3 linked regions of the Oryctolagus cuniculus genome follow. The protein of the gene in region 2 interacts with the protein of the main gene of each other region in a pairwise test. Links are inferred from orthologs where the notes say so. Each region holds a gene or a part of one and is shown on either strand. Other genes may lie near its edges.

Region 1 (7,272 bases), on a different chromosome or scaffold from region 2:
CATCTGGACAGAGACGCTCTCCGGCGCTGAGGCCCAGGAGTTAGTTAGAAGCGGAAAAGCCGAGGGGCAGAAAGTAAAATGCCAGCGCTGCCGGAATCCCCAGGCGCTGGGATCCCATCTGAATAGAATGCACTTGGTCCTGCATCCGTCCACCTTACATAACTTCTTCCTGTCACATCACTGGGAACAACTGCTTCTAATGGGCCCGGCACCCCGACAAGCGAGTCGAACTTCACGTGCTGTGTGACGCTGCTGCACCTTGAAAGCTTTCCCCATGGAAATGCTGGCCTAAGTAGGAGCCAAAAATAAACTAAAAAGCCAATTCCTGAGGGACCTGTCACTGGGCTGCTTCTTAGGCAGCCTCATAAAAGCAGGGTGATCACACACGGCTTCAGGTTGGAGGCTTTGTGTCTCAAACCCGGACACCCGCAGTGCCGGGGCAACTCGCAGCAAAAGACAACACAGGGGGGCTGGGAGAACGCGCAAACACAGGCAGGACGGGCAAACACAGGCAGGACGGGCAAACACAGGCAGGACGGGCAAACACAGGCAGGACGGGCAAACACAAGGAGGCTGCAGTCCTGGCTCCTCCCACGGGGGCCAGGAAGAGCCACAGGCCCGCCGGTGTTCAGGAGAGGAGAGGCTGCCCGCATCTGGGCTCCACTCCACAATGTATGCAACGGATGACCGCTGGCGGGGACGGGTACGCCCCCTCAAGTTTCAAGGGTAAATGGCCAGCGCGCTGAAGGCACCAGCAGGCTGCGGACAGGCGGGCCCACCTCAGAGGCCCCGGTCACTCTCTTCCGTCCAGTTCCAAAGGAACTCCATTTGGGCTGCTGTAAGAACTCCTTTATTTGCACTGCTCACTTGCGCAGAGGTGGCGGGGTGAGGGCAGGACTTGCTGCCCAGTTTCTCTCTCTCCTTGTAAACTTGTTCACTGCAAACTCACTCACTGCCCTCCAACTCAACATGAAAACTACAAAAAAAAATCCTCCACAGCCTCAGAAACACTCCACACTAAAGGGACACTATCAAAAAAGGCAAAGTTCACTCCACACTATCAAAAAAGGCAAAGTTCCTCAATGCCACCCCATGCTATTCTTTTTTTTTTTTTTTTGACAGGCAGAGTGGACAGTGAGAGAGACAGAAAGGTCTTCCTTTGCCGTTGGTTCACCCTCCAATGGCCGCCGCGGCCGGCGCACCACGCTGATCAGATGGCAGGAGCCAGGTGCTTCTCCTGGTCTCCCATGGGGCGCAGGGCCCAAGCACCTGGGCCATCCTCCACTGCCCTCCCTGGCCACAGCAGAGAGCTGGCCTGGAAGAGGGGCAACCGGGACAGAATCCGGCACCCCGACTGGGACTAGAACCCAGTGTGCCCCATGCTATTCTACTGATAACTGGGCTCTAAATCTCATCACTGGATTACTGCCGGGGCAGGCACCAGAACCAAATCCTAGCCTTGGTCTGATGGTCTCCACAGCGGGCCATCGCCGTGACGGAATCTAGAAGAACAGGAGATGAGAGGAACATCTCCCTAGTCCACAGTGCTGCAAGGAGACCTGCAGTGGACCAAGGTCGTCTGTGCCAACCGCTGGACCTATCTCCAGGCCCTCAAAAGATCCGGACACTGCACTCACTTCCGAGGGGTCCCTGCGCCCTGGGCTTCTGCTAAGTCCAAAAGCCATGACGGCAAAGAAACCACCACCACCGGGGCGGCAAAACGGAGTTGAATGATTCCAGGCGAGTCACACGAGGGCCGTCTTAAAACCTACTCGAGTGGTGCCTGCAAGTCATCCTCACTTGACTCCCTAAATAGGCATCTTAAGGCAAACTTGGTATAATTACACATGGTGAGGGAGGCGCACCTAGCGTGGCTGTAAACAAAGTTAACCACCAAAGTCAAGTTGGGCAGGAGCGGCAACTGATAAACAGCTGCCTCCTGGGTGCCGGGCAGATGCTGGAGTCAAGTGAGCTGCATCCCGAAAGTCACCAGCCTCCAGAGAGGACCGGAGGTGACCACCTCCCGGGGACAGCAGTCAGCACCTGCCCGCAAGACAATGAGGGCGTGCACGGAGCACCCGCACATTTTTTTAAACATGCATCCCTGGCTAAAAGCAGTATTTTCCAAAGACTTCTGCAAATGAACGTATACCCAGTCGGAGACGGCTGCCTGATTTGCATTTCTGAGGGGAGGCCCGGGCCTGTGTGTGGATTTGGGCCTGTGGGTGCATGCGCATTAGCGAGAGAAAGACCCTGCTGGGATCAGCAGTCACTTCTGCCACCAGGAAAGCGCTGGCAGGCGAGGGGCCTTGTCCCCGCCCAGCCGTCCTCACAGAGCCCCGTGCAGTGGGGCTCGGAGCTGCTCCTCCGTGGTCTTTGTCTCCCGGCGTGAGAGAAACCCAGATTAACTTCTCAAGTGGAGCCTGTGAGATCAGACAGCGCAGGCCGGCCGGGTGCCGGGTTCCCGTTTCACACGGAGGGCAGGGGTGGAGGTGAGGACGAGAGGGTGTGCGATGGAGGTGTGTGTGACCACTGACAGTTAGTCACACGGGGAGGGGGCGTGGACAAGCTACCACACCAACCTGGGTGCAGGGTTTCAGGTTTAGGATGACAAGCCCCTTTGTTGTCTAAAAACTGCGACAGCCACCAGCCGCACCCCAGTGCCATATGGGACTCTGATGTTTGCCTAACAGCTTCGGAATCCAGAAAAACGCTCCAGGCTCCCCAGTCGGGGCCGGTCCCCTATCCATGGTCCTGTAATCATCTGTCCTCCCAAAAAGTCCGCAAGCACGCGGGAGTCCCCCACCGCCCAGGCCGCCGTCAGGACCCCCACCCCCACCCCGGTGCTATTTAACCTCCTGGAGAATTTCACACGCCAAGCTCCCCGCTGCAGTCAGAGAACCGGGGCGGCTCCGTGAGACAAAAAGAGGCAGGCCGGCTGCCCCGCGGGGCTTTCTGCACCTGGGGAACTTCCAGGGCCGTCCCCCGATCTCGGCCCCGAGAGCTGCGACCCCTCCCTCCCTGCACCGGGCGGCGCGGCCCGCCGTTCCGGACGCACAATGCAGCAAGGCGCTCCTTGGGGGCAGCTCTGCCCCCCGCGGGAGCGCGGCACGCCCGCGACCTGGAGGCCGAAGCCCGGCCCGGCGCGGCTGGCAGGTCCCCTCCCCCTCGAGCCGGGAAGCCCGGGGCCCGGGCCCAGGCCAGCAGCGCCGGCTTGGCGTGTCCGCCCGGAGCTGGTGCAATGACTTTGCATGGAGCCACTGCAGTGGCGGCGCTCCGGGCACGGCCGGCCCGCCCGGGCGGCCGCGGCCGACCCCTCCCCGCCCCTCGCGCCCGACCCGCCCGGCCGCACCTTGGTCTCCTTCACGTGCTGCTTGACGCCCTCCGGGTACCACTGGACGCGCACGTAGCCGCGGCGCAGCGGGCTGGCCCGGCCCTCCTCGTGGCCGGCGCCGCCCGCCTCCGAGCAGCCCGAGCTGCCGCGGCCATCCTCCTCGCCCTCGGAGTCCGAGTCCTCGCCGTGGATGAGGCGCACCAGCCCGAAGTGCACCGAGCCGCGGTAGCGGCCCGACACCAGGTCGTGAGAGAACAGCAGACGCTGCGAGCCGGCTTCGGGGCCGGAGTCGGAGGAGGGCCCGGAGGTCGAGTCCGGCCCGGCGGCCGGCGCCGACGCCGGGGCAGGGGCTGCGGCCGGGGCCGGGGCCGCCTCCGGAGCTGGGGCTGGGGCCTGGGCGGGAGCGGGAGCTGCGGGCGCGGGGGCTGCGGGATCCGCCATAACTGCTCTGCGTGAGTCTCGGGCGGCGGCGGCGGCGGCGGCGGCGGCGGCGGCGGACGAGGCGCGGGGAGGCGGGGCCAGCGCGCGCCGGGGGCGTGGCCGCGGCGCGCTGACGTGGCCTGCGTGCCTCCGTCGTCAGGGAGCCTGGATGCGGTTGCTAGGAGCCGCCGCGTCGTCGCTAGGGGACGCTGAAGATGCTCCCCCGGGGCGGGGGACGCTGGATTCGGCCGGCTGGGGAGGCCCGAGGGCATCGGGGTGGAGGGAGCCGGGACTCGGAGGAGGAAGCGGAGTGGTCGTCCAGGACCTGGGCAGGGGCCGAAGCGGGGAGGGCGCTTGGTCCAGAGGCCGTCCATGCGCTCCCGGGCGTCCCTGCCCGGTGCTGGGCGGTGCGAGGCTGCCTCTGGCTTCCAGGTGTTTACAGGCTCTCCGGAAAGGCAAAACAAACACGCGTTAAGCAGCCTGTCCGCAAGGCTCTGATAGACACGTGAGGGAAGGTCGCGCAGCACTGGAAGGTCGCGCAGCACTGGGCCGGGCCGGCGAAGGGGAGTCGGGGAAACAGTAAGAAAGCAAAGCAAACGTCAGGGCCCCAGGGTTTAAAGCCATCCAGAGGCGCCGCCCGCATCCCATATGAGGGTTGAACGTCCAGGCTGCTCCACTCCCCGTCCAGCTCCCTGCTAGTGCACCTGGGAAAGCAGTGGAAGACGGCGCAAGTGCCTGGACCCCTGCCACCCGTGAACCAGCAGATGGAAGATCTCAGTCTATCTCTCCGGCTCTGTCACTCTTTCAAATAAATAAGTAAATCTTTAAAAAAATTTCGATGAGTTCAACGTTCCACAAGGCCTAGCGTGCATAGCAAGAGATAAGATAATGAGGTGGTTAAAAGATTCCAGTTCCAAGAAGTAGAGGATAGCCCTGGCGCTTGGGCCCCTGCACCCGCGTGGGAGACCCAGATGAAGCTCCTGGCTCCTGGCTTTGGATCCGCACAGCTCTGGCTGTTGTCACCATTTGGGGAGTGAGCCAGCGGATGGAGGATCTCTCTCTCTCTCTCTCTCTCTCTCTCTCTCTAACTCTGCCTTTCAGATAAATAAATAAATCTTTTTAAAAAGATTTTATTTGAAAGACAGAGTTACAGAGAGAGGTAGAGACAATGAGAGAGGTCTTCCGTCCGCTACTTCACTACCCAGATGGCTGCAATGGCCAGAGCTGCACTGATCCGAAGCCAGGAGCCAGGAGCTTCTTTTGTCATGTGGGTGCAGGGGTCCAAGGACCTGGGCCATCCTCCACTGCTTTCCCAGGCCACAGCAGAGAACTGGACCAGAAGTGGAGCAGCCAGGACTAGAACCAGTGCCCATATGGGATGCCGGCACTTCAGGCCAGAGCTCTAACCTGCTGCACCACAGCACCTGCCCCGGATAAATAAATAAATATTTAAAAAAAAAAAAAAAAGGATTCCAGTTCCACAGATTCTAATTTTTGACATTGCTACTCACTAATGTACATAAAGGTAGGCACAATAATTAACTTTTTCACCTTAAAAAGTGTTCATTCACTTGAGAGGCAAAGGGGGGGGTGCCCCCATCTGCAGGTTCACCCCCAAATGCCCACAGTGGCCGGGGCTGGGGGCGGGGCCTGAAGCCAGGAGCCCGGAGCTCAACCCAGGTCTCTCACGGGTGGTGGAAACCCAAGCACCTGAGCTGTCACCATGGCTTCCCAGCATGCACTCCGGCAGGAAGTGCAGTCAGGGGCCGAGTACCCAACCCAGTATCCCCTGCGGGATGAAGGCGTCTTAACCAGTGGGCCAGACGGCTGCTCCTCGCCTTAGCTTTGTCGCCTGTAAAATGGGGTGATATTGTTGTGTCGTCGTTCAGCTGAGAGGGCTGGATGAAGTAGAACCACGCCTCTGCAAGCTTAACCATGATTGTGATGTTGAAAACCCGTCTAAGCCCAAGCTCCAGGCCCCCAGAACTGTTACTGTATGGTCTGCTCCGTGTCGCCGTTTCAAAATATAAGTCATTCAACCAATTAAATGTCACCTAAGTCAGTTCCAAAAGATTTAGATAATATTCTCAGAGGACAGATTCACGACGAGTGGCTAGAAAAAGTTAAGAATCCTCAAGAACTGGCCCGAATCTTTCTCAGTCTAGTTCATTTTCTGCAAGACCATCAGTAAGAAGGCTGATATTACAGTATCCAGGTTCTTCAAAGCCGGCGAGCACCACCCACTTGTTCACTCCCCAACCGGCCACAATGAGGGGCTGGAACACGATGAAGCCACCCAGGTCTCCCACATGGGGCCCAAGCCCTTGGTCGTCTCCTGCTGCTTCCCCAGGTGCATTAGCAGGAAGCTGGATGGGAAGTGGAGCAGCCGGGACTTGAACCGGTGCCCACACAGAGGCCAGCGCTGCCGGCAGCGGCTTCACCCACTGCACCGCAAAGCCAGGCCCTACCCAACATTCATCAAGTACATACCATACCATGGCCTGTGCCGGGCTCTTCCACACGCATTATCCTGTGTGCTACCTTGGACAAAGGAGCTGTGGCCCCCTTCCACCAGCATGGAAACACCAGGGGCCTAAGAGGTGGAGACCTCGCTTTGCAAGCAGAGGGGCTGTGTCTCCAGCTGTCTCTCTGCAAGCTCCTGACTGACAGGGGCATCCATGTGTCCCTGTGTCCACGGGGAGGGGGTGGAAGGAGCAAGTAGGCCGAAGGGGCGGGGCAGTGCCGGCCTCAAACCTGTGTTTGATGTGAAAAAAAAAAAGACCCAAATGCGTTTTGCATCCTACTCGAGCGCACGCCTGTCATTTTGACGTAAAAAATAGGGATGTGCTTTCTGCCCTAATCCTTGAGGGAAATCGGCACTCCAGGAAGATGTGCCGCGTTTACTCTGCAGCTTCTTGTAATAACAGCTAATAATAGCTGCCACTTACTGAGCTGGAAACGTCCTGCCAGGCACCAGGCTAAGTGCTTTGCATAGGGTATTAGGAACCCGCCGGGTTGCAGGTAAGAGTCCCCGATGTCGAATGCTGCCGGCTTCCTCACCAGACGGAATCCCAGAGCGCGGGGCTCGGGTCACGTCTGCCTGGTGCAGGCTCAGTACAGGCTGAGTGTTGGAACTCAGTCAATCCTGTGTCAGCTGCCGGGTGTCGAAGGCCCACCTGGGTTCCCCTGCCCCTCCCCCCCACCATGCCCCTACACAATGAGCTGAAGCTTGGGGCAAGAGACTTTGACCTCCTGGGCAAGCCTGCAAACCCTTCCAGCTGCCTCCAGTCAGTTCCTCCCCACCTTTCAGTGACCGCACTGGGGCCCGAGGTGCTCTGGACGCCGCCCCAGACCCGGAGCCCTCAGCCGCTGTCCCTCCCTCCCAGGCTGGCCAGTGGGGTGAGTGTGGATGGGCACGCCTCTTAGTGTCTATTTTCATCATCGTAGAGAGATCCGTAGAGAAGAATCTTTATGTGCTAACCAAGAAACCTGGTCCCCCGGGGCCCCCACAGCTGGCT
Region 2 (7,503 bases):
TCTTTTGGGTCTCCCAAGTGGGTCCAAGAGCCCAAGGACGTGGGTCATCTTCTGCTTTCCCAGGCCATAGCAGAGAGCTGGATCGGAAGTGGAGCAGCTGGGACTTGAACTAGCACATATATGGGATGCTGGCGCCGCAGGTGGAGGCCTAACCTACTATGCCACAGCGCCTGCCCAAACTTAATTGTTTCAATAGGCACCCATAGCCAGGGGCTATGGCACTGGATGGCCTACCCTCCAGTCATGAGTACTGTGATAGTATGGAGCCTTGGCTCTGTGCTATACGCACACTGGGCCCAGTGATATGTTTTGCCTAAGGAGTAATAGTAAGTCATCCCAAGGCCAGTGCCGCGGCTCAATAGGCTAATCCTCGGCCTTGCGGCGCCAGCACACCGGGTTCTAGTCCCAGTTGGGGCGCTGGATTCTGTCCCGGTTGCCCCTCTTCCAGGTCAGCTCTCTGCTATGGCCCAGGAGTGCAGTGGAGGATGGCTCAAGTCCTTAGGCCCTGCACCCTATGGGAGACCAGGAGAAGCACCTGGCTCCTGCCTTCGGATCAGCGCGGTGCGCCGGCCGCAGCGCGCCGGCTGCAGCGGCCATTGGAGGGTCAACCAATGGCAAAGGAAGACCTTTCTCTCTGTCTCTCTCACTGTCCACTCTGCCTGTCAAAAACAAACAAACAAAAAAAAGTATGTCATCCCAAGTTGGGGAAAGAGGGACTTTGGTCAAAGACTGACCTTGGGTTTTTCCAGACGGAGCGTAGTGCTGGAAAGCAGAGGGACTTGCCTTCCCTTCTCCAGAGGTGGTGCTGTCTTCCAGTCCTTTCCCAGCGCCCATATGGAATGTGGCACTACAGTGGTGGGCTTTACCCGCTATGCCACAGCGCGGCTCCCAGAGTTCAACTCTTATGAACCATTTTTTACTCCAAAGTCATCAATATTCTTGTTTTCTCACACATGTTATTCATGTTATCTTACATGTTATTCTGTGTTCCATGAATTTGAGGGATGTGACAAGTATTTCTTAGACCTTCTCCACCTTTGTTCCTAGTATCATCTTCCAAGACAGACTCTCACTTCCACCAAGCAGAAAAAGGTTTTCCAGTAACAACCTTTCCTTCCTCAAATGACTGTTAAACTGATTTGCTAACTTTACTAAGAGGCTGCACTTGGACAGTATGCCACTAGGAGAAACAAACAAGTTTGTTCATCTGTAGGCAAGGTCAAATACATTACAACTGCCAGGGGAATCTGATGTTAAAACATGGAATTAAAAAAGTGTATCTTACATTCTATGGGTATTTCACATTATGCAAACAAAGAAATCCTCACTTGAGATTGAGGTTTGTCTTCACCATTCTATATCATGGATCAATCATTAAGTATGTATACAGGAAATCAATAATTGTTTAAAAATTTATTCAAAAATCTGAGAGAGAGGGAGAGACATATCTTCCATCGCTGGGTTCACTCCCCAGATGGCCACAACAGCCAGGCCAACAGAGCTTCATCCAGCTCTCCCAAGTGGGTGGCAGGGGCCCAAACACATAGGCCATCTTCCACTACTTTTCCCAGGCCATTAGCAGGGAGCTGGCTCACAAGTGGAGCAGGTGGGGCACAAACCAGAGCCCATATGGGTTCCCAGCATCACAGTTCCTAACACCACAATGCAGGCTGCCAAAATCAATAATTTTTAGAAGTCATACCTCTTCTTAGCATGTTTTATTTTTTGTCTCATTTTCAAAATGATTTATAAACATGGTCAAGTCACCTAGTGCAGGCTTAAGATTTTCTGTCTCAACAGACGACCTCTTGCAGAACAGTGTGGTATGGGCAAGATAATTTTAAAGATGCTTATGTTTAATCAGCTGCATTTGAACTTGTAGATTCACCCTATTTTAATACCTAGTTACTATAAAGCAAAAACTACTAAAGGTAACAGTAATTCAGGATAGTTGTCCATGACTCCCACGCTGTTTTCACACAGCAACTGGCAGGCCACTTTTCATTAGGATTAACGATCCAATAAAAAAACTTATCTATACCAGGAGCTTTAAAAATGTTAATATTCTTTGTTACTCCACTTCTTGGATTCTTTCCTAGATAAAATAGTCTAAACTGAGAACAAAAAGTTATGCTCAAAAGCATTATTTAGCCCTCTTCAGAAAAGCTAAATTTTGGGATAACTCTAAAATGCCAACAGGTCAACTGTTCAGTCAATTAAGGAAAGGTGCTGTCCTCAGACTTTTTTCTTTCAGAATATAGTAATGTGAAGATATGTGAGCTAATTTGTTACGCTGAAAGAACAAAAATAACTGAACACAATATAATTTCAATTACACTAAAACATGTTGAAATAAAAAAGACTAGAATAAAGCCAACTGTTAATAGGGTCTGCTGCTAGGGCTTGGCAGGTCAATTGTGAATGTGCATTTTCTCCTGCATCTTCCAGTTTTTCTGAAGCAAGCCACCATTATCTTTTAATAATCAGGGTGAAAAATTCAAACACTCACTGAGGCTCAGAGAATTTGAGTGACTTGCCCTCGAGCAGAAAGTACCAAGTGGTAGACAAACCCTTAGCTCCTCAATTCCACACCCAGGGCTTTCTAGCCCAACTACAGGTTCTCCCTGGGAATTACCTCCAGGTGCTTTCCGTTTCCTCCTTAAACCCCAGCTTTTCCAACCAATTTTCCCAAATATTACCCAGTTCAAATGTGCTGCTTCTGGATATTAAAGTATCAATGTAGCTATTTCATTTTAAAAACTACTACACAACTGATACAAAGAACTCATTTTCAAATTGTAAACTATGTGAAAAACTCAAGACATGAATCAGATGAGTCAAGAGATCATTTGTGGCCGGTGCCGCGGCTCACTAGGCTAATCCTCTGCCTGCGGCGCCGGCACACCAGGTTCTAGTCCCGGTTGGGGCGCCAGATTCTGTCCCGGTTGCTCCTCTTCCAGGCAGCCAGCTCTCTGCTGTGGCCCGCGAAGGGAGTGGAGGATGGCCCAGGCCCTTGGGCCCTGCACCCGCATGGGAGACCAGGAGAAGCACCTGGCTCCTGGCTTCGGATCAGTGCAGTGCGGTGGCCACAGCATGCCAGCCGCAGCGGCCATTGTAGGGTGAACCAACGGAAAAGGAAGACCTGTCTCTCTCTCTCACTGTCCACTCTGCCTGTCAAAAAAAAAAAAAAAAAATCATTTGTGCCTCAAAACTCGTGGCTGGAGCACAGTGCAACCCATTCTGAGCTGTGGTCTCTCTCTGGGCTACAAAACACAGAAGGTAAGGCAACCTGCAGCAACTTACAGAACAAAAAAGCAAAATGACAAAGCGCACCTGGCCAAAACCTCCCACAAACCACCTGAAACAAGACAGTTTCTAACTCTGTACTACAGGAGTCATTAAGAGAAATCTGAACTGGGAGTCAAGATAAACCAAAATGCGGGTGTCTCTTTCGGTTAGTCTAGGCTGATAAAAGAGCATTACCAGCCGGCACCTACTGGCCTGGGAAGATAACTTTCAGAATGTAACAAGTACAAATCAGTTCTACAATCAGAGCCCAATTTCAACCTGGCAACTCAAACTGGCACAAAATCCAAGGCAGAGGAGGTACCCAGGAAAGGGGGCATGATCCAGCCTGTGCTTTCTTTTGAGGGAGCCCTATCAAATCGTAGACACGTGGAATACGTGCATTTTATTTCGAAATACACAAAGCTTCAGAGACGTTTCCGAGTGGTATCTAGCAGTATGTCTTCAACTGCTTATTGGTATAAAAGGCAGGCTTGGGAATCAGGTTTCTCCGAAGCTAAGTTACAGCCCCTACTCCCCTCCCGCCAACATCTTTCCTGAAACAGCTGATTCCATTCCTGGGTTACATTTCCCAAAAAGCGGTCAGAATCGCCAGCCGTCAAAGCAGCATCACCCCCCAACGCACCACACACACAACACCGGGCTCTTATTTTGATGAGTTTATTACTGGAGCCAAGTCTGCAGCGAGCGGCGCGGCGGCCGGCCAGCCGCGAAGGCGCCGTCCCTCGCTCGCCGCGCACCGCTCGGGCTGTGACAGCGGCCGGGCCCGGCCCCGACGCGAGCACCGCGGGCGCGGAGAGCGGGGACGGGCTCCGGGACACACAGCCCTCCTTTCCTCGCCTCCCCAGCTCGCCGAGCCGCTGCGGCCGCCGAACAAGACTACCAGGTTGGCTCCCTTTCCTGCCTTTCCTCCGAAAATTCCGGGGTGGGGGAGCTAGCACCTCCCATCGCAGCGATTAAAAACAAAAACAACAAAACAGGCACTTTCCATCCAACACAGAGGAGACCCGCGCGCGGACGTGACTGCCAGGCCCACGACAGGCGGCGGCGGCGGCGGCCGGCTCGGTCCCCGCCCGCGGCCCTCGGCCCTGCAGCGCGGGCCCACGAGGGCCTCGGGAAGCGGGCCCGGCTTCGAATGCTCCGGGCGCGGCCCGAGTCCGCGGGCGGGGGATACCTGGGCGGCGGCCCTACCTGGGCCCGGGCGGGCACCGGCGGCAACCGCAGGCCTGTGGTCCTCCCGCCCGGCTCGCCTGCATGGCCCGCCGCCGCCCGCGCCTCACCTGCGGGCTGTCCTCCAGCGTCTCCTCAATGGGCAGCTTGTCGATCCCCGGCATCGTGGCGAAGGGAGGGCGGTGGCAGGAGACGCAGCGGCCGCCCACAGCTCCCCGCGCCCGCCCGCCTGCAGCAGCTGACCGCGGCCCGCCCTCCCTCTCGCAGGCTCTGCCGCCGCCGACGCCGACGCCGCCCGCGCCGCCCTCGCCAGGCGCCGAGCTGCCGCGCGGGAAATCCCGCCCCCCGGCCTGCTCGCCCCGCCTCCAGGGGCTCCCATTGGCTCGAGGCCACGCCCGTCAGCGCTGGAGCTGACCGGGAGAGGTTCCTCTAGCGAGAAAAACTGCTCTGCGAACCCTGGCCTCGCTGGTGGCGGAGGCGGCCCTGTCTCGGCTGGGCGATCCCGTGTAGCGTTCGGGCGTTTGGATGCAAATCGGCAGAGCCCGTCCCCCGCCACGGCTTGCAGCGCGAGTTACCGGAACCTCGAGGGAGCATCACACTGGGGAATTTGGGGCAGTCTTACTTCTCCGGCAATGTATTTCGTCAGCGACCTTGGAAAAACCCCTACCGCTGGCGCCTTTCCTCAGTTTCCTCAAATTATAACCTTCCCAGACCTGCCTGAAGCATCCAGCAAAACGGATGTCTGTGAGATCCGAAGTTCCGTCATTAACTGGAGCTTCTGCTAAATTTGCGGGATCGAAATGCGCCTTCCGGGCGCTTGGTAATAGTTTATTGAGTTTAAAAAACACAGACCCACCACCAGCAACAACAAGAAAAAACCCATGACTGTTGCCAGTTCGGCAGCCCTTACCTACCCACGAAGGAAGAACTGACCTGCCATTCTTTTACATCACAAAGGAAAACACCCTTTAAATATGAGGCCATGCTGCTTGCTTATGTTGATAACTGATTAGCATTTCTGTTCGATCAAAAAAACATTGGAAAGCGGGTTCACATCGCTTCTTTTACAGTAAAGCGAAGCATCGAGTCGGGGATTGGAGCGAGTGAAGCCTGAGACCCCGTCTCTCCCTGCCTCCCCGGTCCGTCTTCCCCCACCTCCATTTTTCTGTAGAGTTAGCAGTGATGCTTTCTTCAGTGTAAAGAGAAAATGGCAAAATAAACTAGCCATTTGTCCCACCAATCCATCCCGTTTTCATTTAAGAAATAAAAAAGATGCTGAGTAAGGATGAATCGCCGCCCGATGCCACAGATAGATTGAAACACATATGCTGTAATGAGGATGGAAGTTACATTTTCTTTAAAGATTTATTTTATTTATTTGAAAGAGTTACAGATACAGAGAGAGGTCTTCCATCCACTGGTTCACTCACCAAATGGCCGCAACGGCCAGGGCTGGGCCGAGCCAAAGCCAGGAGCCAGGAATTTCTACCAGGTCTCCCCCATAGGTACAGGAGTCCAAGCACTTAGGCCATTCTCTGCTGTTTTCCTAGGCCCGTTAGCAGGGAGCTGTATCAAAAGTGGAGCAGCTGAGACTCAAACCTGCCCCCATATGGGTTGCCAGTGCTGCAGGCCAGGGCTTTAAACCGCTGCACCACAGCGCCAGCCCCAGAAGTTACATATTTTTAACTAAAATACTAGGGTTTCTTCTGATCTCTCTCTTTTTAAAAGTTTTTGTTTTGAAGGACAGAGGGAGAGAGACACACAGAGATTTCCCATTAACTGGTTCACTCCCCAAAAGCCTGCATTGGCCAGGGCTAGGCCAAGCAGAAGCTGAAGCCTAGGCACTCCATCATCCCACATGGAGGGCAGGGACCCACATACTTGAGCCGTTACTGCTGCCTCCCAAGGTGCACATTAGCAGGAAGCTAGAATTGGAAGCAGAGCCAGGACTGAAACCTAGGCACTCTGATATGGGATGCAGACATTCCAAATGGCCATCTTAACTTCTTAGGCTGGATGGTAAAGTTTGTTTTTTTTTTATTTTTGTGGTTTCTTTCAAGATTTTATTTATTTGAAAGGCAGAGGTATGGAGAGGCAGAGGTGGTGGGGAAGTGTCTGCCATCCGCTGATTTACTCCTCAAATGGCTGTAATGGCTGGCACTGGGCCGATCCAAAGCCAGGACCCAGAAGCTTATTCTGGGTATCCCACATGAGTGCAGGAGCCCAAGGAGTTGGGCTATCTTCCACTGCTTTCCCAGGCCATAGCAGAGAGCTGGATCAAAACTGGGGCAGCCTGGACTGGAACCAGCACTGCAGGCGATGGCTTTACCCATTACGCCACAGTGCTGGCCCCAGGTTTTTAAAACATAATTTTGTCTTTCCTTCAAGAGATCATGGTGCTCTAAAGAATCATGATGGGGCTGGCATTGTGGCACAGCAGGTTAAGCCTCTGCTTGCAAAGCCAGCATCCAGTATCTAAACACCAGTTTGAGTCTCTGCTGCTCCACTGCCTATCCAATTCCCCACTAATGCTCCTGGAAGCCAGTGTAAGATGGTTCTATTTCTTGGGCCCCTGCTACTCATGTGGGAGACCTGGATGGGGTTCCTGGCTCCCAGCTTCAGCCTGGCCCAGCCTGAATTCTTGCAGCCATTTGGAGAGTGAACCAGAGGACAGAAGAGCACTCTCTTCCTCTCTCTCTCTCTGATGTCTTCCTTTCAAATAAATAAATCTTTAAAGAAAAAAAAGAGGAAAAAAGATGTTATGATTTAAATGGGAGAAGGTAGTGACTCCTGATAAGAAATAAGTAGCAAGTGAAAACAAAGTATAAGACAAAAGAGTTAAATAGTGTAACTGAAGGGGAGTTACACAATTCTCTTGGCCAAACCAAATAATTCCAAGGAAAACTTCTGTTAGGTATCTGAAATATCTGGGTGTGATCTCTCATCCAGTTAAATGGTTTCCTTCTTTGTATGGTGTGCACATCTAAGTTGTGTTTTTGTACAGAACTCCCAATAGGCTATTACGTT
Region 3 (7,181 bases), on a different chromosome or scaffold from region 2:
CTGGCTTCAGCCTGGCCTAGGCCCAGCCTCTGTGGCTATTTGGGGAGTGAACCAGCAGGTGGAAGTTTCTCTTTGTTTCTGTCTCTCCCTCTCACTGTTTCTGTAACCCTGCCTTTCAAATAAATAAATCTTAAAAAAAAAGGGGGGGGGTACAACTCCAGCTATCCATTAACCAGAGCAACTACACGGGCCTTCCTTCCCAAGGACAAAGGCTACACAATCCCTTGGTAGTTAAGGAAACAAAGCCGGATCCCCTCCCCCACCCCGACCCAAGCCACTCACCAAGCAGGTGGGTCCAGATGTTGCCGGTCTCCGTGTGGATGCGGAAGATGCTTCGGAAGCAGGCCCGGAAGGAGGGCATGGGCGGCCGGTGGCCGTGGAGCAGGTAGTCATTGTCCTTCAGCCAGTCGGGCAGCACGTCGTACGGGATGACCCGCCAGCGGCCCTCCCATACCTGCAACAGGCAAGCTCGCGCTAGGCAAACACTGGCTCCCTGGGATGAGCAGGGACCCCGAGACCCCATCTGGGAAACTGTCGGGCAAGCTTCCGCTGGTCCCTGGGACAAGCAGGGAAGCAGCGTGGACCAGCCGAGTCACAGCATGCGTGGGCTACCAGGGCGCTGACTCAGACTCTGACCGCTTTCTAAAAACTGCGACGTCCTTGTCTCACGATTGTGTATCTGGATATGTTTTTGTACGCGATTTTCAGCTTTTAAAACAAATCTGCCACACCTCCTTTAGGCCACTTGAAATTTCAAAACTGAACTAGTGAATGAAGACAAATTTCACTTCGGGTTTTATAAACACACGAGCCCTTCTTCGTCCCTCTCCAGGAGACGGCCTGCCCCGCTCCATCCCTCCCGCGGTCACACTCTCAGTTCTTTTTGGCCGTGACTTCTACGGTCTAGAGCAGGGGTCTGAGTCTAGGGTCTGTGCACCATGGACAAAATCCAGGGAGTGGATGAAAACTTGGATGGAAAAAAGGACCTTGGTTTTCATTTATCTCTAACTGCATTTAGGATTTCCCTCAATTACAGATGTAGGCAACGGACCAGAGTATTAGAACATATGGCTTTGTCGCCAACAGAAACCTCCGATGTTCTCACACGCTACTTCTGCAGGTATTTCAAAATGCTCACCACTACTCAGAAAGTACACTTCGACTCGAGTTCAGCAATACTGCTCATGTGGCATGTCACAAAGGAACCTACAGCACCGCAGTGCACTGACATAGACTTCTTAGCATAAAACAGCAGAGAACCCCTGCTTAGACTATTGTGAACAATGCCGGGTACAGCAGGCACTAAACATCTGCCCAGGCTGCATCACCTCGACTTCACCTTAACCAACAAGACAAACCCGCCCGCAGCGGGAAAGCTCCTGGGCCCACGGCAGCTCGCCAGCGGGAACGTCCAGGTAAGCCGGCCGCCCTCGCCCTCCCAGGACAGGCTCCCGAGCTGCACCTTGTACACGAACTCCTCCATCTTCTCCATGGCGTGGTGGGCCTGCAGGGGCAGCGTCAGCACCCGCACCTCCTCCTCTTCTTCCTGGGGCACCGGGCATGTTTGCTCTTCTTCAGCCTGCGGGAAAACACAGGGAGTCCCCTCACCCACTGTGCCGCACCAGGCCCGGCGAGCAGCAGAGAAACACAACTCAGTGCTTTCTGCCGGCCTCTCTCCTACACAGGGCCAGAGCACGACAGGAGGATGCGAGGGGAAGTTCATGGGCAACGCAAGTAAAAGATGCATTCATTTTGGTACAAGAAGATTTGAAATTTATATACATGATACTCAAAAAGCTCATGAAAAATGTATATTAGAAAAAACTGCATGCAAAGATTTCAATTTTTTCATACCAAAATAAACTCATCTTTACACCCCAGTTTTCTACAAACTTTTAAAGTACCCCCATATTTACTGGTTCACAACACTGTGGTCTGAAATTATGAACACTTTGTAAACGCGGGAGTGGAAGTTCCACTTGGCACCAGGAGACAGGTCCTGGCGGAGAAGACAGCTGAGGGACAGGGGACGGGCACACCAGCCCCAGGTGTTAAGACTGGATGGCGGGGCCGGTGCTGTGGTATAGCAGGTAAAGCTGCCACCTGCGGTGCCGGCATCCCATATGGGCACCAGTTCGAGACCTGGCTGCTCCTCTTCTGATCCAGCTCTCTGCTATGGCCTGGAAAAGCAGTGGAAGATGGCCCAAGTCCTTGGACCCCTGTACCAGCCTGGGAGACCTGGAAGAGGCTCCTGGCTTTGGATCGGCCCAGCTCTGGCTGTTGCAGCCAACTGGGGAGTGAACTAGTATATGGAAGACCTCTCTAACTCTGCCTTTCAAATAAATAAATAAATTTTTAAAAACAAAAACAAAATGACTTGATGATGGAGCTGGTGCTATGGCAAAGCAGGTTAAGCCACTGCCTGCAGTGCTGGCATCCCATATGGGCACCAGTACAAGTCCTGGCCGCGCCACTTCTGATCCAGTTTCCTACTAATGTGCCTGGGAAAGCAGTGGAAGATGGCCCAAGTGTTTGGACCCCTGTACCCACATGGGAGACCCAGGTGAAACTCCTGGCTTCAGTCTGGCCCAGCCCTGGCCGTTGCAGCCATTTGGGGATTGAACTAATGGGTGGAAGCTAGCTCTCTCTGTTAACGCCACCTTTCAAATAAATAAATAAATCTTAAAAAAAAAAAAAAAAGACAACGGCCCATCCTTCTCTTGAGGCTGGTAAATCTCAGCTTCCCCCAATTTCCAAATAGTTCTTTCAGACCACTACATTTTCAACTTGTCAAGTAGGCACAGAGTCTCCGACTGCCTTCACAATTCTGTTCCTGGTTCTGTGAGCTGACTCTGGGGATGCTATTTGACTGCAACTTTGTATCCACGGAGGCCCCCAGGAGGGTCAGTGATCAGAACCGGTTCCCCAGACGGCGGCAGTAGCAAGAGCCCGTACCCATGCAGAAGAGAGACCATTCGAAGAGACCGTTCTCCCCGTCCCAGGCCTCCAGCCATGGAGATGGAGACCCTGGCAGTCCTGTCCTTTCTCTGGGCTGCTCCCTCGCCCTCTTGTTGAAACACACAGTCCCTCTTAGATCCTGCGATGCAGATTCTGCTTGCCTATCCCAACATCCACCGTCTCTCTCTTCCTAGGTAAGTCCTTGTACTCTTCAGGGTGGCAATGCTACTCAGGCCCAAGGAAAAGACTCGCTTTGGAGCCTCCATTGTGGCTGAATGTAACGGCGTCGTTCCCCTCGGCCCGCGTGTCCTGGAGTGTCTTCCAGAGGGAAGGAGGTGTCCTCATCCCCAGGGAGTAGTGTGCGTGACAGACAACGCCTAGAACGACTGAGGAGCCAGACGGGCTTTGGCAGGCGTGCGCCCGCCTATCAGCCACGCGCTGGCTCCTTCCAGAACCTCTCACGTGAGATGCTGTCTTGTCAAAGCTGCAGAAGTTGTGCTGCTATAGGCCGTCGAGCGCGCCCCTAACCGTCTGCTCCCTCCCTTCCTGGCTTTCAGGCCTTGTGCTAAATGCTGGGGTTACAAAGAGGAGTGAATTCCCAGAAACTCAGAGTGGAAAAAACAGGCAAAAAGATACCGATGAGACCTCGGACAGAGATGTTCCTGGGGGGCTCGGATCCTAAGGCACAGCGGCCGACAGAGGGCCAGGGCGCGCGCCTGGCCGGGGAACGGCTCCGGGAGCGACTTACTTTGGTTGGGTTGGTGACTGCTCGTTTGCCCTTCTCTTCTAAGAGGGGTCCCAGTTCGGTCAGCTCCACCGAGTCTGCGTCCCTGTTGCTGGCAGGTGCCCCGTTGCCCTGTGCTGCCGCGGATCCTTTGTGGGAAGACATCAGGCTGGCACCGCAGTACCCTGCAGCTTCAGCTTGCGGGGGGTCGGGGGCTCTCAGCCCCAGGAGGCAGAGATCTCCCTGTGATGGTTGACGCTGAAATCAAACACAATGTGAAGGTCGTCGATTTATTCCTCTTATAGTTTCACCTCCATAATTTAATACTAAGACACAGCTAATCCACACACACCGTGTCTTCAATTCTGAAAGCCAATGAATTGCTTAGAAGAATTCTATTCTTGCCTGTCTTTAATAGCATTCTGTATTAAGAACCTGCTGATCCTGCCGACATGGCTGCAAACAGTCACCACCGAGACAAGCTACCCCACCCCCACTCCTCTAGGTGTGGAGTCCCTGCAGGAGGACGGTCTGCGGTGATCACTCCCGCCACGGGGCTGCAGCTGCTGTCCGATCACCCAGGCTCAGAAATGAGTTAAACACCAACTGACTCAGTTGCGCTTTACCTACAAATGCTCTGACAAATGTGTTTTGCATACAAAAGCCACTTGCCTGTGCGAGGGATGACCAGCAGGAAATTTGTTTGTAGGATCTGCTAATTCTATAGGCATTATAGGATTACAGGCTGGGTTCTCCTTGGATAGTAAGATTTCATCACAATCTCCCCTTAAAGCAAGCAACATTACCTGGCAGCAGGAAGTTGAAAGCAAGAAGGCAGCCCCAGGTTTGCCCTTTGCCTCACAAACAATACACACACACACACACACACACACCCCTAATAACTGGCTGCACAAGAGCCTGTCCCAACCACCACAGACATAAGCTAAGCCCCACTCAGTTTAGGTTTTCAGAAATTACAAAAAGGAACACAAATCCTTTAGGGAAACTGAAGAAACCCAGAATTCGGTTTTCTAGGAAAAGGCATAGAAACACTCGGTTCTCCTGGGCTGGACTTGGGGTCGCAATCTCTCACCAGGCCTCAGGGACATGCCAAGAACACCAGAAGGAGGGAGCTGGTCCCAAAGATGTTTACTTGTGCTGCAAATTACTGTTCTGCTCCCCTCCCCGACTCCAGACAAGGGACTTTATTACACACAGGGAAGTTGTGGCCAGATGTTAGAATTTTCTTGCGGTGGTTACCCAAGCCCTAATAACCACAGGCCACTGCAAAGAGGGCCAAGTCACACCTGCACATGGAGTGAGCTGGTCACAGGAGACGCGACTTTGCTCCCGTACAAGACACTCTCTTGTTGATGGCCATTCGCCAGGAATGCAAACATCTTTGGCATCCTGTACCAGTTTCTATCCAAGAGTAATTATAGTTTCTTCTAAGGGACTGCATTGGATATATGCAATCAGGTGGGATGGCTAATTTTTTGTGTTAACTTGAACAGATTAGGGGACACCTACAATGCTAATAAGGCATTATTTCTGGGTGTCCCTGTGAGGTTGTTTCTAGAAGAGACTGGTGTTTGAATCATTGCATCGAGTAAGGAAGCTGTGTCCTCACTCACTGTGGGCGGCACCAACTAATGGGCTGCGGGCCCGGACAGAACAGAGAGGCAGAGGAAAGACAGAATTCATTTCTTCCTCCCCCCTCCCCCTTCGCTCTCACAGCCAGACGTGCTTCCACCCTTGGACATCTAAAACTCTAGATTCTCCAGCCTTTGGGCTCTGGGACTTGTGCCAGCAGCCCCACGTGTGACTGAGTTAGGCTGCTGGCACCCTGGGTGTGCACGAGGCCACTCTGTCGGCTTTCCTCGTCCTCCGGCTTGCAGATGGCCTGTCATGGGACTTAGTCCTCGTTATCATGTGAGCCAGCTGCCCAATAAACCCCTTCTCTTCCATCCATCCACCCTGTTGGTTCTGGCTGGGGAACACTGACTAATACTTTAATTTGCCCTCAAGTTTCAGAACAGTCATGCCTCATACTACATGTTCAACCCAGAACCAGAGCTGAAAGCAACAGGCAAACCTAGCCCGAGGGAGACAGACAACAGCTCACCGCACAGCAGGCAGAGCTTACGTGGTGACAACGCGCACAGTTCCTCTTCCCCTAAATGTGCAAGGCTCTGACAAGGCAGATGCCCGCGCACAGTCAATAGCTGAGCTCAAGGAGAACAGGAAACTGGAGGCCCCTGAGGACCTCGGGAGATCCCGGCCCCCACCAGAAGAAACATTAGGAAACGTTTCTCAATAGGCTGACCTGAAAACACACTTCCTTAAAATGACAGGCTGCTGAATAAACAGCTTCCCGAAGAAATAATCTATACCACCAGCAAAAATGTAACTAGACTTGGGCATCTTGGAGAGGTCTGAGAGAAGCACGGAGCAGACCCAAGGCAGAAACACAGCTAAACAAACAGCCTCGCATTCGGGATGCAACGCTACACAGGTCAAGATACACATCTCTGATTTGGGTCAGACCTCATGTTTCAAGATGATTGAAGGGGCCAGCGCCGTGGCTCACTTGGTTAATCCTCCACCTGCAGCGCCCGCATCCCATATGGGCCGGGTTCTAGTCCTGGTTGCTTCTCTTCCAGTCCAGCTCTCTGCTGAGGCCCAGGAAGGCAGTGGAGGATGGCCCAAGTGCTTGGGCCCCTGCACCCGCATGGGAGACCAGGAGGAAGCACCTGGCTCCTGGCTTCGGATCGGCGCAGCACTGGCTGTAGCAGCCATTAGGGGAATGAACCAACGGAAGGAAGACCTTTCTCTCTGCCTCTCTCTCACTGTCTATATATAACTCTACCTGTCAAATAAAAACAACAACAACAAAAAAAGATGATTAAACGAGGGGGCCCGCGCCATGGCACAGCCAAAGAAGCCTCTGCCCGCAGCTCTGGCATCTTTTATGGGTACCAGTTTGAGTCCCGGCTGCTCCACTTCCAATCTAGCTCCCTGCTGTGGCCTGGGAAAGCAGCAGGGGATGGACCAAGTGCTTGGGCCCCTGCACCCATGTGGGAGACCCGGAAGAAGCTCCTGGCTTCAGACTGGCCCAGCTGCAGCCGTTGTGGCCATCTGGGGAGTGAACCAGTGGATGGAAGACCTCTAACTCTCTGCCTTTGCCTCTCTTTCAAATAAATAAATAAATCTTAAAAAACAATTCTTTAGGGTGCTAGTGAATGGGTTGGCTTGCTCTGGGGAGGGGATACAAGAGCCCCACAGTACAAGGAAAAGGGCAAGAACTCTAGCTGGTGCCGAGAAGCCAAGTCATGCTCACTGTGTGCAGTCTGCCCTGATCATTCAATTTTTTTTCCCTTTTTTAAGATTTATTTCTTCGAAAGGCAGAGTTAGAGATCTTCTATCTACTGGCTTACTCCCCAAATGGCCACAACAGACAGGGCTGGGCCAACCAGGCCCATATGGGATGCCGGCACCA

The links.
Region 1: the proteins of APPL1 (region 2) and UBE2O interact in binary tests that used the Homo sapiens proteins (3 or more experiments, as listed by UniProt). The two-hybrid records come from large-scale screens. The link is inferred for Oryctolagus cuniculus from reciprocal best matches to the Homo sapiens genes APPL1 and UBE2O.
Region 3: the proteins of APPL1 (region 2) and ADIPOR1 interact in binary tests that used the Homo sapiens proteins (3 or more experiments, as listed by UniProt). The link is inferred for Oryctolagus cuniculus from reciprocal best matches to the Homo sapiens genes APPL1 and ADIPOR1.

Annotation. Positions count from the first base shown.
Region 1 is NC_091448.1:4,313,707-4,320,978, reverse strand, and holds the start of UBE2O ((E3-independent) E2 ubiquitin-conjugating enzyme), read right to left. Parts: upstream 3,848-7,272; 5' UTR 3,776-3,847; coding exon 3,353-3,775; intron 1-3,352. UniProt on the Homo sapiens protein: E2/E3 hybrid ubiquitin-protein ligase that displays both E2 and E3 ligase activities and mediates monoubiquitination of target proteins. Negatively regulates TRAF6-mediated NF-kappa-B activation independently of its E2 activity.
Region 2 is NC_091441.1:92,679,243-92,686,745, forward strand, and holds the start of APPL1 (DCC-interacting protein 13-alpha), read right to left. Parts: upstream 4,785-7,503; 5' UTR 4,641-4,784; coding exon 4,587-4,640; intron 1-4,586. UniProt on the Homo sapiens protein: Multifunctional adapter protein that binds to various membrane receptors, nuclear factors and signaling proteins to regulate many processes, such as cell proliferation, immune response, endosomal trafficking and cell metabolism.
Region 3 is NC_091444.1:18,682,477-18,689,657, forward strand, and holds the start of ADIPOR1 (adiponectin receptor protein 1), read right to left. Parts: upstream 3,848-7,181; coding exon 3,707-3,847; intron 2,701-3,706; exon of another isoform or gene 1,580-2,700; coding exon 1,463-1,579; exon of another isoform or gene 455-1,462; coding exon 283-454; exon of another isoform or gene 1-282. UniProt on the Homo sapiens protein: Receptor for ADIPOQ, an essential hormone secreted by adipocytes that regulates glucose and lipid metabolism. Required for normal glucose and fat homeostasis and for maintaining a normal body weight.